4 linked regions of the Drosophila melanogaster genome follow. The protein of the gene in region 3 interacts with the protein of the main gene of each other region in a pairwise test. Each region holds a gene or a part of one and is shown on either strand. Other genes may lie near its edges. The genes, in order: Sbp2, CG10510, bic and CG42329.

Region 1 (3,540 bases), on a different chromosome or scaffold from region 3:
GTTGTATAAATATACATACATATAAACAAAGGGTAAATCAATTTTTTTTCGTAGCTTTATTTTTAAACAAAGTTCAGGGACAATGTAAACAATCAAATGTGCGGCCGAAATGACTTTTGATTCAACTTCTTTTTTCTTCCACTAAAGTTCTGTTACTCAGCAAGATATGTGCTTATTCAGCCTCGGATATAATCGAATATTTGTTCTGCGCCCTTGTGAATGAGCCAAATGTGTGCATGTACGCTTTTTCCTTTCTGCAAATGGCATGAAAAAGGCTCGGTATTGTTTTGAAATTAAATTCTTCTTAATTTGGAATATTGAATAGTTGGGCCACATGATGGTAGCTACCACCGCATGTCTGAGCAATACAAAGCTTTCTTAGCAGAGTGCTTGCGTTTTCTAGACATATCTTGATTTCATTTTGATTCATACGATTGAATACATTATGATCCTTAGCCAAAAAGAACTCCAGTCTACGAGCGCGTAGATGATCCACCAAATGACTCCACATCTCAACCAATAGGGTGCCCAGGTCTCTTTCCCAGTCAGCACTTTCGAGGCGATGAAGCAAAACTGTTTTCAACATGTAGCTGGACAAGTGAGGCAATTTCCTGGCGTGGGCATCCCGCAATCCTTTCATCAGCCGTAGAACGTTCTTCAAATTATCCTTGCCCTTCATAATTTCGCGCTCCCAATGTGGTGCACAAACCATGAATGTGGTTCTCGGTTTAGCCGACTTCTTCTTCTGTTGCGGAATGGCGAACCATGGCCAATTATTGCTAACATCAGCAGGAACCGGGCAAATATCAAACGGCCATTGGCTTCCAGAGAATTCGAATGCTGGTACCAAATCAAAAGATATCGAGCGACTACCACAAACGGCTAAAATGGTATGGGCACAACCATACCCCTCAAGAGTATAGGTTAATTTGTAGACTCGATTACTGGTAGTGGCAATTGTCTGATTAGACCTGAATACCTTGCGGAATGCATTGCGTAGCCAGTCTTGAAGTACAATACGATGGATGCGTTGGGGATTGATTACGGTGAGATCAGCCTCTAAATAAATAAACCCTTGGTCGATCCGAGTCGGTCGGATATCAAATGGAAACTTTAGTTTCATGTGCAGATCAAATTCATCGGGCAAATTTAGCTTGACGCGATCCAAGTAACTTCCTAAAAGATACGTGTACATATATTTTTAGGTACATAATGTACATACATAACGATGAATTTACGAAAGTACAACATTTCTTGCAAAAATGATAAAACAAAATAAAGCAAGAGATATCAATTGTAATTGTATAGCGTTGGATTATCTCGACTTACATTTGTATTACTTCCGTCAATTTACACTTTTATTAAAAATAATATTGAATGCATTAGAAAATCGACCAGACAATGTCTTGTAACTAACATTATTCTATTTATTTGTTTTGTTTTTATATAGAAATATATGTAGAATATATGTAGAATATATGTAGATATTTAAAATTAAATAACTTACCTCCAAGACTGAGTCCGTCGAATACCTGGCGAAAGGTTTTGTCTACCCGCTTAAGTTCGTCAACTACATAGTTTTGAATTTCCTCGGCTTCCTTGGTATATACGGCCCTTTCATTGTCAGAGATTGACAATTTCTCAAGAATTCTTTGAAAATGATTAGCGGTACTCATTTTTTCACAGAAGCCTAACGTTGAACTTCCAAATCAAAACTTTTAGGAACGAATGAGGCCGCATTTGCTGCGGTTCTTGATTTTATTAATTACGTTGTTGTACCGCGCTGATTCTTCGCATTCATGTGTGGTGAAAAAGCGATTTCACCATTTACCGCGACGACCAACACTATTTTAGAGATGCACTAAGAATCCACAATAAATGACTGAAAAAATAAGGAGGAGCAGGAATCAGGATGTCCAGGATACAGCGATCAAGATTACTCCACGCAGCTCCAAGTACAAAAACCAGCACAGGAAACGGGAGCAGCAAACCTCTCTTCTGGACTTTGTCATCAAGCCGAGACCAAAAACACAAAGGCAAACAAAGGCACATAAACTTCAAAAGACACATTTAGCCATAACAAGAGGTAGCTACATAGTTTACAAACCCAAGGGCAAAACCCGCCTTGATCCCAAGAAGAAGATCACCAGGTTGAAGAAGTCCGTACGTGTATATCGCACTTCAAAGAAGGCGGAGAGAGAAGTCGCAGAGAATGATCTTGAAGGAGTCCCAGTAGTTGGTCAAGATATCAATCCGAATGCTATTCCGCTGGAGCAACAAGTTCAAAACCTATCACTTAGTAAAACCCCTGCACCCAACAACCCTTCACAAGCAAAAACAGTACATGCCATTCACTCACGGCGATTTAGAAGGTTTGATTACACTGGTTGTACCTTCTTTAAACGTTGAAATATCATGTTTGATCTCTTCCAGCTATTGTGACAACTGCACCCGTCCTCGCCTCAAGGAGTTGTCCACTCAGTTGTTAAGGGACCTGGATCGATTTCAGAAGCGCGCCTTTGCCAAAAACGAGATTAAAGCGCGTGCACATCCCCGCCTGGTTTTGGGTGTTCGAGAAGCTCTGGCGAGGCTAAGGATAAACAAGGTGAAATTGTTGTTCCTGGCCACTGACTGCGAAATCTGCCCCGGCGAAAGTGAGTAATCGAATTGTTCGCAAATCAGCCATTAATAATATCCGCTTAAAAAGGTGGTCTAGATGCGACTATAGAAGGCTTGAAATTCCAATGCCAGCAGCAACAAGTGCCCTATTGCTTTCCTCTGCTGAGAAGGGAGCTTTCTTATGCCCTCCAAAAGCGAGCGCAAATTTGTTGCGTTGCTATCCTTGACTTTGACGGAGCGAATGCAACCTACGCAGATCTTCTTAATGAAATAGAGGATGCCCGTGCGGAGTACAAACGCAGAACTGCTTCGTGAGAGTTTATTTCGTGACAAATAAATATAAGTAAAAGTGCCAGGAGGACGTGCTCGAAACATCGAATAAAACATTCAAGAAAACAAAGTTTAGACCGCCGGTGTCATGGTCGTGGTGACGAAATCACGCAGCGTGGAGCTAATATTATCCATATCGGTGGCGGCACCAACCAAGCCGGCGGTGTCATTAAGCGAGTTGAACGTCTGTATAGCCTCTTTGGCCTGCTGGGCGGCCAAATTGAACTGAATCAGGATGATCAGGTAGCTAGTGATCCCGCCACTCACACCATACAATGTTTCCATGTCCAGGGTAAAGAAGCCGCAAGCCGAAAAGTCCACCGAGTGGTTGAGCAATTTTAGCGATAGGTGGTTAACAATTTCGTAGAGAAGATTATCATCGGCCACCACGCCACATTTGTGCAGACTGATTCCTGTGCGCTTGGAGGCCTGCGACGTTTTCCAACTCAGGTAGATGAGGTACACGCATTTTCCAGACGTATAACTTAGAACTATAACAGTGATGAAGGGATTCTTGGCGGAACGGAAAAGCGATGGTATCGATTGGTACTGTGTAGCGCAGTAGAGGAAATAAAGTTGAGCAGTGAAAAT
Region 2 (4,153 bases), on a different chromosome or scaffold from region 3:
GTTTGACAGGCCATCTCTGCTCTGATTTTCGGAATGGAGAGGGTGGATGTCGACGAGGACGTCGTGAGGATGGAAAGCTCGTCTTCGGTTGAGTGGCCTCTTGAATTAACGTATGACAACGTATGTTGCTTAATTGCACATGGCTTTTTAAGCATAAGGGGTTAAGTTATATGTATATATGTATGATAGGCTAAGGAGATGTTAAAGACCCCGCTGGCATCCGACGACGCGGAAGTGACACAATTTATGCCGCTGAAACGAGGCCAATTGGAGTGGCTAAGGAGCACTAAGCTAAGTAGCCCATAGGGAACCACATGGTACCCACACGCTGGGTCTTTAGAGTTCAGTAAAATTGTTTTGCGTATCAGTAATAATAATTTAAATTTAAATTAAAACATTTTCTTCAAACATAAAACATTTTGAAAATTTTATGTTAGAAAGTTCTTTCGATTATAAGCTGAAGAAAAGTTAGCCAATATCCAATCCAAGCTTGTACTTCGTTCCATTGTGTGTTAAATGAATAATTTAAATTAGTACCGAGCTTGCGTCCTAAGAGTTTAAATACCAAAGGTGTTTCAAAACTAAGTTCTGCAAGCCACCGAACTAACGAATAATTTCCTTATCACTATAAGGCCAAACATGGCAAACACCACCTCAACCGGACGCCTACCACCCAATCATTTTAAAGTAAGCGACTTACGCCCCCAAGGCCCCCTACATACACCCACAACCACACACCCAACCATAATCCTTCGCCCACCGAAAGAGCCACCCCAAGCGACGTTGGCACGCAAATTTATCAGTTGCCCCCGTGGCAACCTATCAAATGGAACCCCTATATCCCACAACTGGCCACCACATCTCCCAGTACAGTCCGCATTTCACGACATTGTGGTTAATGGATGCATAAATATTTATGACGTCGGGCTGTGCACATGCAACTCACCAATTTCCAGTTGCTTGATCGTATTTGCAGTCCCAGCCGGGCGGCATTTTCTGATAGCCACCGGATTCGCTCATTTTCACCGCTCACGAATAGATACAGATGCAGATACAGTAACAATTGCACTTGCAGATGCGAGGCGCTTCGATGCCCAGTTAAACCGAACGACCGTCGTTTTATTATTTTCGTTTTCTGCCTGAATGTTTATGGACGTTTAAAGTCGCATTCGCAGCTTGTTTGCCGACTGTCTGCAACCCCGAAAAGTTGGCAGGCAGGAGTGCCCTTGCCACTTATCCTGCGCGGAGCTTTGTAGTTGCCTTTGTCGTCGGATGTTTCAGATTTGGGGGTTGTAACCACCCTCGATGGCAACCTCTCCTCGGCAGCAGAGTTATTTTTGTTTACAAGGCACTGCCTGCCGGGAAAAAGGACCGCAACACACAGATACACACGCTCACACACACACAGTTCGATGTGGCGTGCCGTTAGTAAGCAAGCCAGCCAGGCTTTAGCTACCCGGAAAGGAATCGTTTTTGGGGAATCCTGGAGTCGCGACGCTATAAACAACCTCGCGAGCCAAGCTTTGAGAGTCAACTGAGGAAATCAGTGGCGGGCGTTAAAGCTTCAGATGCTGTGCGAATAGTCGTTAAAAAAGCTGGTATCCAGTGTTGGAATTTGCCCGTCGAAAGCTGTGCGCCAAACTTCGATTCAGCTTTCAAACAGGCACACAATTCGAATTTAGCTCCCCCGTCAATTTTCCAAAAATTTCACCTTTGATTTACGCATTTAGTTCAGCTACAACTACACATCGGCAAAATGGCCGAAATCTTGGCACGCTTGACGCGTGTTTCGGAAAACTACCTCCAAGAACTGGAGGAGGAGCCGGAGCCACAAGGACCGCCCAAACTAACCAAGGCTCAGAAGAAGGCCGCCAAGAAAGAGGCCAAGCGACTGGCTATGATCGAGGAGAAGCGGCTCATCATGCGGGTGGGTTCAACTAACTTTCGCAGAGTTTTTATTAAGGATGAACCTAAGCAAATCCTTAATATTATTAATTTTTATAATAAAAATAATATATTAAGACTATATTAAAATTGTAAACGCATCATTTCTAATGTTGCGCCATGATCCTCTCAGGATGCCCTGATGCGCGAGCTGGAGATGGGCAAGCATATGGAGGAGAAAGGCAACGAGGAGTGGCACGAGATGTGCCGCGAAATCAAGATCAAGGAGCTAAACGAGGAGATGAGGGCTTGGGGCGAGCGCTCGGAACGTAACATTCAGGCCAAGAACGACCACATCAAGATGCTTCTGGACGACATGGCGCAGACGCAGGATCAGCACGTGCGTTGCTACAGCAAAACGGTGGAGCTGATTGATCACATTCGCGACTGCTTCCACGTGATGTTGGGCGGGGTGAAGAGCATGTATGACCAGCAGGCTGACGAGATGCTGAGGGATTACTATGAAGAGGTGCGCCGGCGCACCGAAGAGGTGGAAGCCATGAAAACGAACTCCGAGAACATAATCCATGCCACCAACATCACCACCCGGGATCAGCTGAAGGAGGATTACACTATCTACCTGGAGCAGCGCGACGATCGCGTGAATACGGAGATTGAGAACAGATTTAAGATTCGAGATCAGATTGTCCGCCGGATGACGCACATGCAGCAGCAACTGAACGACTTCGTGGAGTCGCTGAGGAGCACCGAACTGGATGCCCACAAGTACGAGAAGATCCACTGGCTGACGGAGCGGCAGGCGGCTTTCATGGAGGAGTCACGCAAGCTAAACGCCGAGGAGTCCAAGTACATCAACATGCAGGCGGAACTGCAGCGCGAAATGGTTCGCATGGATGCGGAGAACAACTCCACGCTCAACGATCTTCGCCTGGAGTTCCAGTACTTCACCAACGTGCGCAAGAAGATTGAGCTCAACCAGGAGATGGATCGCGAGATCACGCACGAGAAGTTGCGCATCCTGACCGGCGAGTGCTACGAGTTGACCAAGGTGAACCTTTGTCCCAAGCCCTATTACCCATTTCTAAATTGAAATATTATTCCAGCAAATGGAGAAGCACGTGAAAAGTGGGGAATTACTCTTGGCCCTGTCGATCACTTGCAGGAAACTGCAAACCGAATCGGAAAAGGTAATCCTCGGCGGCGAGGTATTCGACGAAACCGAGGTGGATGTCGATGAATACTTCAAGCTGCAGACTCTCAACCTGAAAGATCACGTGGACATGACCGAGGAGGAACTCGTGGAGCTAAACAAAAGTCTCAGGAACTTCTGGCGCCGCCAGGCGATGGCCGAAGCTCAAAACCTGCTGATGCTGGAGGAGAAGCGTCGCCTCACTGAGGACAATCAGCGCCTGATCGACTTTATCAAATCCATGAGTGTCACCGAGGATCCGGAAGAGCTGCGAACCGCCATGCATGTTTCATCGCCAACTCAACCCATGCCACCCAAACTTTTCGAGACAAAGTGCCAGGAATTCAAGTCCAGAAAGGTCGTGCATTCACCGACGGCACACAAGGAGGCCAAGTGGGAGGCCGAAGCCACTTTGAATGAGGTGATTCTGGACTTTTGAAAATATGTGGCATTCAAAGTTATGTTTAAATATAAAAATGAGCTCAATTAAATTGAATAATAGTTAAATTAATATATTTACCTTGTTTGCAATCGCAAGAAAAAATGCTATAAAGACAAATATTTGATTATCGAAGAGTATATTGTTTATTTTAATAGTTTTGAAATTGCTGAACACAGCATGGGTATCTCAAAGTGCCAAAATCAATATATTTTAAAACAGATAGTTTTTGTTTTAAACAGAAATTTAGCTGTACTTCTACTTATGTATATTATTTTGCAAACTGCAAGTCTTTACTCTACTAAATATTGCTAATTCCCTAAAAGAATGCCGAAGCTCATGTTTTTAGTTAATAAGAAAGCTTGCGTAGTTAAAAACTAAATAATAGGAGCAACGACAGACTCTTAGGAGACTAGAAATATGTTTTAAGTGCAACATGGAGATATGTAACTAGCTTTAGTTCAGCACCAGTGCAATCTAATCTAACTGTTGCAAATATCAATATTTCTCTCAGTGTAAAGTGTTACTGTAGTGCTTTGGTCCATCAAAATGCAGAGGCGTCTTCAACATATGGCAATGGGTATGCTTGACTCCCTAGTGTAAGTCCACCAGTTCTTTCG
Region 3 (4,039 bases):
AACTCTATTTGACCTCGTCACTGATAAAAATACTAGCATTTGCATTAACCTTAATCCGTTATAGGTCGTCGAAATGTGATAAGAAGCCGCAATCGCTTGTTTATGTACAAATGAGTGGAAACTTCAAGAAACATTCCGGTTGAACTGGCCTAATCGCAATTTTAAGCCAATTTAAACGTGACTCATTTCGAAGATTTCCGACCAAAAACCATATACATATTTATATATATACATATGTGCATGTACCGCATGCTACGACTCCCAACTTTGGATTTGGACACATAATTTGGAAGTTGCGTACGGGTCATAGTTCCTGCCGAAGGAGCCTTCTGACCATCTGGATTTTAGACGTACCATACCAAATGTCAACAAGTTTTCGACTGCCGCGTGCTTTGCGCCACACCTCCCACTACCCCTTTCCCATCACCTCGAAAACCTCACACAAGAGCGTTGCTATGCATACACACACAGGCCCACACTCACACACATGTCGATTATGCAAGCAAAGAAAAAAATAGGCATTAAACTAAAAAAAAAATGCTGGAAATATGAATGGGTCGTATGGTTTTTACAGCTCATTTAATGTTATGCATGGTAATGATGGTCTAAAACAATAGTTTACAAATTATAAGCTATGCTTTCAACAATTTGGGCACATTGTTCTCGAATCGAAATTGTGGCCTCAGCTTGTTTTCGTTTTCAATTGAGGATTCCTTGAGGGCGGGGTTACATCGAAAAGTCGGAAATTGGGGAAAATCGGTAAGAGCTAGTAGTGCTAAAAATATATTTCTCTGTCCTCGCGACCTGGCAATGAATTCATCTGGAGTGTCTGCGTTGTTCCCCTAATCACCTCGTCACAATTCTTCCGAAAACCGTATCGTATATATATAGTATATAGTGTTTTATGACAGCGCATATATCTATAGATACATCTGTGTGTGTTGTTCTTGGGAGGGCGGCAAAAATTAGAATGTGTGTGTTGTTTAGACTGTGGTTTTTTTTGGTTAAGGAAACGTTCTTTAATCGCTTTGGAAAATACATTTGACTGTTCCAAACTAGTACAATTAGATTAAGATTGAAGGGTTCCCTTAGTATGTTAAGTATAGTTATTATGCTTATGTGTTCTGTTCAGCGCTCACTCGGATGCCTTTATTTTTGTATTTTAGTATAGTGTGTAGCATGACCCCCAAAAAAGTGGCTGGAGGGAGCACGAAGAATGGCCCATTCAGGGCAGAAGCGCTGGTTGCAGTCCGGAGTGGATCCGTTTCCGATTTGGAACCGGAATGGGTAAGTGGTAGATGTGTTTCCGGCGTGTCTGGTGTGTGGGTTCTGCCCTGTATGCCAGCCACTTCGTCTTGCTCCCTGGCCCCGTATGTTTTGTATGTATGTTTTTGTGTTCGGTGTGTGGTGGTGTGATTTGCCCGGGTGGGCGGGGTTGGACCAGCCTAAGCGGAGGCCGCCACCTCACCGGACTTCTCCTCCTTTGTGTCGGCGATGGCCACCTCCTCGAAGTTCTCGACCAGATCGGGCACATCATCGTCACCGGCATCGGCGGCTGAAGAGCCGGCTGCTCCGCCGGCGCCGCTCTTGCTGGCAATCTCCGTGGCCAGCTTCTTCAGCTGGTTGATGTCCTGGGGACCCAGTTGCGTCAGAATGCCGGGCACCATCTCGGTGATCGTCTTGTTCTCGCCATGACCCGTGATGGCAAACGTGTTCGTCGGCAGCGAGGCCTGGGCCTTCGGATTGTTGAAGTGGATGACGGTGCCATCGTTCTTGATGATGTTCACCTCCTCGATGCCGGGAATTGTGTTTACCGACAGCTTCTTGAGCGACGACTGCAGCTTCTTGTCGTCGGTGGCGGGCGTGGAGTGGACGATCTTCTTCTTGCGGCGAGGGGTGCCCTTGCCGCCAATGCGCACCTGCGCCTGCAACTTCTTCAGCTTTTCCGCGTTCATCTGTTCAATTGAGTACACACAATGGTCGCATCAGTAAAACGCCAATCGAATGCCGCACTTTCCACTACTCACTTTGATTTTACTAGAATTTAGCACAGAGCCTTGCCAGAAAACACGTGCGCCCAGTCGTAGTCAAATGTCAAAAAGAAATCGCCATGATAAAAATGGCAAAAGGTGTATGTATATGTGAGTAGTACTGGTAGGAAGTACTAAACGTGAGTGTTGACTATCGATAGCTCACAAGGTGGCAACCAAAGCGCGCCAAAGAAATTTAAAAATTCTATTGTTTATATAATTTATACATTATTTTTGAAGTAATACGTTTTCTGAATTTTGAATGAATTTTTAGTTTTGAATATATTCAAATTTTTAGTAGTATATGGTGGGAAAGTAAATCTACTCAGGGCATAAATCTCAATTTAATCGATTTACTTTATTTTCATCGCTTTCAACCACATATATAAGTAAATATGTTTAAAAATTTGCTATATAAAATTAAAAATAAACGTGGTAAGAAAAAAAACCAATTTACTAAACATTTGGAATGTTAATAAACATAATTATGAGCCATCATAAACCCAGCAATAAAGTTTTAAACACAATTAAACCAGATGTAATGTTTGAATTAATTAATTCTTATATTTTCTATTCCAATAGTATCGATTGCTTTGTTGAGTTCGATAGCTATCGTTGGCTTGCATCGACTACTCACTAAACTCAGCAGTCAGTGCTGCATAACGTCATCATTATGATAAATTGTAATGTTTTAAAAAATATCTATACAAAATATACAAGCTTAGTATAACAAACTCAATTTAGTAAATATTTGGAACGCAAATAAATAAAATTATGAGCCATTATATACCTTGCAATAAAGTTTTAAACACAATTAAATCAGATGTTATGTTTGAATTATCGATTGCTGTGTTGAGTGCGCTAGCTATCGCCGCTTTACATCGACTGCTCACTAAACATAGCCAGCGCAGTCAGTGCTGCATAACGTGCACCCATTATCATCATGATAAATTGTATTACTTTCAGATTAACGCTGATAAGATATAGTTAATTCCAATCGGGCTTCAATAACGACCTTCCGGTAGAGTAGTTCACTGATATTTAAGTGAATTATACGGGTGCTGCCAAAAAGCGGATAAATCCGATAAATAGGCAGTGCATTCCCTGCAACAAGTGGAATTTTCGACTTTAAATACAGATATTAACAAAGGGAAATAACCGCTAAATCCTTGTCAAACGTAAGTATTTCACGACGTCTTATCGACTATGAAACGAGCTTTTAAACACATTAACTTCTTCCGCAGTGGACGACTTTGAGTTGGACGATATAGACGATTTCGCCATGGATTTCTGGGGCATTTTCATGTTCTTTCTGCTCACCTTCCTCATCATGAGTTGCTGCGGATATTGCTGCACCAGCAGACGCCAAGGTGCCGTTCTGTCCAGTGAGTAACTGTATAAAATATATGTAGAAGTATTAGCCTATAAGCCATTAATCAAATAAAAACTCCCCGATGAGTCATTCAGAAAGACAAAGCAGCCGGAGTTTAGCTCAAAAGATGAGTTTTATGAGTGAGCGAGTGTGTGTAAGAGTATATAAAATCCTATTCGTGTTAAGAAGTGATAATAACAATTATATTTAGTCGATATACATATTTATAGAGAGAGAGAGACAGATCTGAATAATGGGAGAGAGCTTTTGGCTTGTTTGGTTTTTTTCTTTTGCCTCTCCACCGATTCGTAAACAACATTAAGTATGCTCAGCAATAAGCGGAACTTACTTTATCAGCAAGGGCCAAAGTAATTGTCTATTTATGTATGTTTATTTATATGGCCGTATCTTATCTGAAACAAGTGAATAGTCTGTTGTCCCTTTCTGGCCAGGATTTTACCAGTTTTTATCCATAATATAATAATTGCTATAATGTTAGCAATTTTAGTATAACAACAATATAATTTAAATTGTTTAAAATGACTCATCCTCAGTAGCGCTTCGATAAGGAATTGATTCATTTTTATAGATAAGAACGACTGACAATTGTATCCACATGCCACAGCTAAATACATGC
Region 4 (4,672 bases), on a different chromosome or scaffold from region 3:
ATTTTGGTTAGTTCTGTTGGGACTTCTATTATAATACTGTGTCTAACGCTGGTATTATGTAGTCTTTTACCAAATGAACTGAGAACTTTGAAGCATTGGACTTTATGTTCTTCAGTGAGTTTGCTTTTGTTTGTTACTATTAGGTTTTGTAATGTGTTGTATTGTGTTATCAATACCTTTATGTGAAAAATAAGCGTCTGAGTTTTGATCAGCGCGGTTTTATTAATACATTTATAGGATTTATCAAAAGCATCTCTAATACTGTTTATGGATATGGTTAAGTTTAGCCATTCCATGTATGTACCTTTTAGCGATGTAATCGCACTTGTACCTTTTTGGTGTAGTTTCTATTAGATTTTGTCTAAATCATTGGCTCGACTCATGTAAGTCTTTTCAACGATCTTTTGTGAAACTGATAAAGTTTTAAGGCCAGGTTAAAAGGCTGATAGGATAACTAAAATCAAAAATAGTAAGTACATTGAATTTAACTGTGGGGTTGTATCCACGACTTATGTCCCATTTTGATATGGGGAAAATTAGTCTTTATTTGTATATCAAAAGTACAAATAGAATTTTAACTTTGAGAATTGGTCAATTATTGTTATCTCGATCAGATATAAATATAGCTCGAAATTTTAATAGGTCTAAACTGTTGTTAAACATATTTTTACTTGATAGATGAATTCATTATACTCAGTTTACATCGGTTGCAATTTGCAATTTTACAATATTATTACTTATTTTAAGTTTAGGACTGAGTATAATGTGTTAGTTATGAAATGGGTCCCTGATAAGTTAGTAATTTTGTTGCAGCGGAAACCGCATCGACAACATTAATATAATATTTGGGCGGTTGAGGCTATGGCGTATAACGCAGCCCGCCGCTTTACTTCGCACCACGAAGTTGTTGATTGATGGCTGCAAGGCGCTCTTTGTAGCGCTGCCGGTCTTCCTCATTAGTTGCCGTCTTCAGTAGTTCGATGTTGAGCCTCCGGGCGCTGAGCAACTTAATCCGGCGGCCACCCCTCTTCTTTTTAGGTGGCTGCTCCCTCGCTGCAGTCCGTGCCTTGTACTCTTGTATGGTCAAGGGCTTTGGTCCCGCGGACGGATCTACCTCTATTACCTCTTTGATACTTGGCAGATCCCTTTGCTCGACAGGAGCAGGGTGTTCGAACGTCTGCTTGGTAGACATTCGCTGTTGTCATGTGCGGCGCGCCGGTGGAATCCTTTATCCTTTATCCTAATCCTACCCTCGCAGGATGCCGTGCTAATTGCTGTTGCGGCTTACAATGGTCGAGGGCAGTCTTTCATGCAGACGTCGGGTCTTTTCGGCTTGGGTGATGTTGAATTTTCAGTTATTTCTTCATTGATTATTTCTATTTTTGCTGAGTGAGTTGTGGTATTCGGCTTTCTTTGCTGGAGGTTTTCTTTCAGAAAGTCTAATTCGGCAGTTAATTTCTGTGCCGTTGCCCATGGGGGCGGTGTTTTATTTGTATATCATAGCCACTTAATATGTGCTATACCTTTATTTTTGATTTCCTGACATCCGCGTTTGCCCATTACCACACTCTACTCACTCAGTATTTTTGTTTCTTTTTTTTTCATCAGTGTCCCGTCTCTAGGTCTCCCGCACTGGTGTAAGGGGCGGCCTGCCTCTCACACCTGTTGTCGCTGTTTAGAATTCCCAAATCAAATCGGCAATATTAGCAGCATTTCCTCAGTAGTCCTCAGATCGCAGGCTCCTGCCTCACGGTCGCCATGTAATAAACCAATATATGCCACCAATTGAGAACACGTGTTTTCCTTGCAGTTGGGTGCAGCCGTCAGGCCACCTTTTTATTTCTTCTTATCTCTTCGAGTAGCAGAAACGGTTCTGCCCGCTTAACCTCTACAGAGTGTCTAATCTTACCTAAATACTGCGACTGCGCCGCCGTCGACAGCGGCAGAAGAGCAGCGTATATATATATGTATAAGAGAGAGAGAGAGAGAGCTTATGCGCATATATGGCCAGCGGCCAGCGTGGGGATGCTGACTTAGCTTAAAGCATAAATGGGTGATCTTATATCACGCTCACTTGAGACATTTATTTATGCAATGCAACTAAGTGTTGCTGTGTACTTATAGGTACAGTGTACCCTCGATATATGCACATACTACACTGGCACTTAAATTCGTTGGCATGCCAAACAAGTCTAAGCGCACACAACCTGTCTTTCCAGTGCTTATTGCGTAAGATATGAGCAAACAAAGGCTGGGAGATACGATCTATACCTGGAATACCCCATATCCCCCTTGATTTTACTCACACAGCAAGCCAGTCCAGTCCATTCATGGGATCTCTGTGCGCCAAAGAGCAGTCCTTTTCCTGCACCAATGTTGCTTCCGTCGAATTCTGCCCAAACATATCCTTCAGATGACCAGACATCCATCGACTGAGTTGGGCGGCACTGCAGGATGAGGGTATGCAGGTTCCAATACTCAAGGTGAGGGCATCTGCGCCGGCGGCTTCCATGAGCAAACTCTCGAACTGCATACGACTCAAGCAATACTTGGCTCCGGCATTGATGGTCATGACATTGCCCAGACTCTTGCTGAGATCCAAGCTGAGGCAGGATTCGTAGTTGCCCATGTCCATAAAGTGGCCGTAGAGCAGTCCTTGCGGGAACTTTCCCCAGGCATCGAAAACTGTAAGACACGGACACGGAAGGTCAGTATATAAAGTATATCCACATCGGTTGCCATCAACCGACCTCGAAGAGCAGGCAAGGATTTGGCCTCTGCTCCCGTGAGGAGGAGGCGAACCTCCGCCAGGCAAGATGCCTCGGCAGCAGATGAGGATTGGTTGTCATTCAAGGCCTGCTGGAGCACCTGGTAGCCGAAGTTGCTGGACTGCATCCAAGTCAACAGGTCCTTGGAGCTGTACGTCTGGGCAGTGGTTAGTACTCCCACCCCCATGATCCCGATCAAGGCCACGATCATCTTGGTCGGGATGAAGAGCGATGAGCTCGCGCTGCTTAGTTGCCTGAATACCATTGCTGTGTGCGACGGCCATGACGCTGCGAGTGATATTTATACCGGGCTAGTAAGAGTCTTACTCCGGCCCACGAGCCGTCTGATATGGCTAACACATATTTCTAATCACCTGAGGAGCTCTCTTGACTGCAGTAGTTAGTCGCTCGGTCGTGCAGTGGGAACTTTTTGATAACCCGTGGGCCATGTGCCATTAGGTTTATCTCGCACCCTTATGCAGGGTAGCAGGTGGGTCTATCCACCTCACTTTTGCGATATCTCAGCAGCGTGCGAGCAACGATCATTGTGACGATCGCCTATAAATCGGTTCAATGACCGATATAGCAGCCGAATTAGATTCAATGCCACACATGGGGATGTCCGTTGCGCTGCCGATGACGCTGAGTAAAAACTATTAACTGTCAGGCATAACTGCAGCATCACGCAATCAGTAGAGTGTATCCCCGGGGAAACACCTGGCCCATCGACGGGTTAAAACTCGGGCAACAATTACGTCAGTTTGTTTTATATTTCACAAATGGGTCAGCGACCGATAGTGACTTCTGGCGAACAGATCCACCGGCGATACTGGGCCACTACTGATAGTCTCAATAAATTCGTCACTAGCTCGCTAAATCGGTTGAGTGATTTGAAGTGGCTCACCTTGGCCAGTAGATTTGCCCACTTGTAATAGTTCGGCGGTTCATGGCTGGGTTATTGAACCCGCTGCCCTTGGAAAGGGCGATACTACCGAGCTAAGGCAGCTCGGTCCATCTGGCGTCGTTACTATTGCGCAATAATAGTCGCATTAATCAATATGCGATTCAAAACTTAATGTATTGCTAGTCAGTCAAAAAAGTGTGGGTATTCCCAGGCGTGAATAAACAAATAAGACAAAAAAATCGAGAGTGGGGCGAAATACTTTCTCCGCTGGATCTCCGAATGCTCTTGTCACGCATTTTGCCAAAAATATGTTTCACGCAGAGTATGGAATAAATGATACCTATTGGTGATTATAAATATTTTAATATAAAGTGTGTTATTGTATGGCAACTTGTAACCACACATTTTTGTTTACAATTATTATCTGAGCCAACGAACCAGTTAGTTGATCAAATTTTGTGAAATCATCAACTCTGCATTGGTTCCATTACTCATCAAATACAAACAGTAGAAAATAATCACTTTTTTGTTGCTTTCTGAGATTATTACAAGTGGCTCTTGATAAGTGTTTACAAACATTACTATAACTACAATACACCCGTTTACTCAATGAGTTCCGTGTGAGCTACACATACATACAGATGTGTAATTATTTAAAAAGTTGACTGGGAGAGCTTTACTCATGCCGAAACATACGTGAATTTTGAGTGGTGTGTGAATAAAGATTAGGGTGGACCGTGTTCGTGTGAAATTAATTAGGTGTTTTTCATCCAGAGAAACATATACTACCCCAAACTAAATGGTTTTCTACATCTCACAGTTTATTTACCTTGTCTTTCGGATTTAAATACAATTTGTAACCTAATTCCGTTCGCTCACACAAACTTTCGAATCGCTTTCCCAATCACTTGAACTGGATTATCAGAACATTAAAAATTTAATTAAATTTCCCTATCAGCACGTGTAATTAAGGCAACTTCAGTTGGCAAAGTTACGGAGC

What was found.
Region 1: the proteins of bic (region 3) and Sbp2 interact in a two-hybrid assay, tested with the Drosophila melanogaster proteins (one large-scale study listed by BioGRID).
Region 2: the proteins of bic (region 3) and CG10510 interact in a two-hybrid assay, tested with the Drosophila melanogaster proteins (one large-scale study listed by BioGRID).
Region 4: the proteins of bic (region 3) and CG42329 interact in a two-hybrid assay, tested with the Drosophila melanogaster proteins (one large-scale study listed by BioGRID).

What each region holds. Positions count from the first base shown.
Region 1 is NT_037436.4:8,302,315-8,305,854, forward strand, and holds Sbp2 (SECIS-binding protein 2), read left to right. Parts: upstream 1-1,842; 5' UTR 1,843-1,878; coding exon 1,879-2,372; intron 2,373-2,433; coding exon 2,434-2,654; intron 2,655-2,707; coding exon 2,708-2,934; 3' UTR 2,935-3,011; downstream 3,012-3,540. Other genes in the region: CG7194 (uncharacterized protein), read right to left, coding at 305-1,176, 1,508-1,676; Gr66a (gustatory receptor 66a), read right to left, coding at 3,022-3,540.
Region 2 is NT_037436.4:21,207,598-21,211,750, reverse strand, and holds CG10510 (uncharacterized protein), read left to right. Parts: upstream 1-1,666; 5' UTR 1,667-1,756; coding exon 1,757-1,927; intron 1,928-2,077; coding exon 2,078-2,953; intron 2,954-3,008; coding exon 3,009-3,533; 3' UTR 3,534-3,603; downstream 3,604-4,153. Other genes in the region: CG10508 (uncharacterized protein), read right to left, coding at 947-1,020.
Region 3 is NT_033778.4:12,868,319-12,872,357, reverse strand, and holds bic (bicaudal), read right to left. Parts: upstream 2,110-4,039; 5' UTR 2,028-2,109; exon of another isoform or gene 1,956-2,027; coding exon 1,446-1,955; 3' UTR 564-1,445; downstream 1-563.
Region 4 is NT_033779.5:1,217,670-1,222,341, reverse strand, and holds the start of CG42329 (uncharacterized protein), read right to left. Parts: upstream 3,050-4,672; 5' UTR 2,980-3,049; coding exon 2,751-2,979; intron 2,686-2,750; coding exon 2,307-2,685; intron 1-2,306.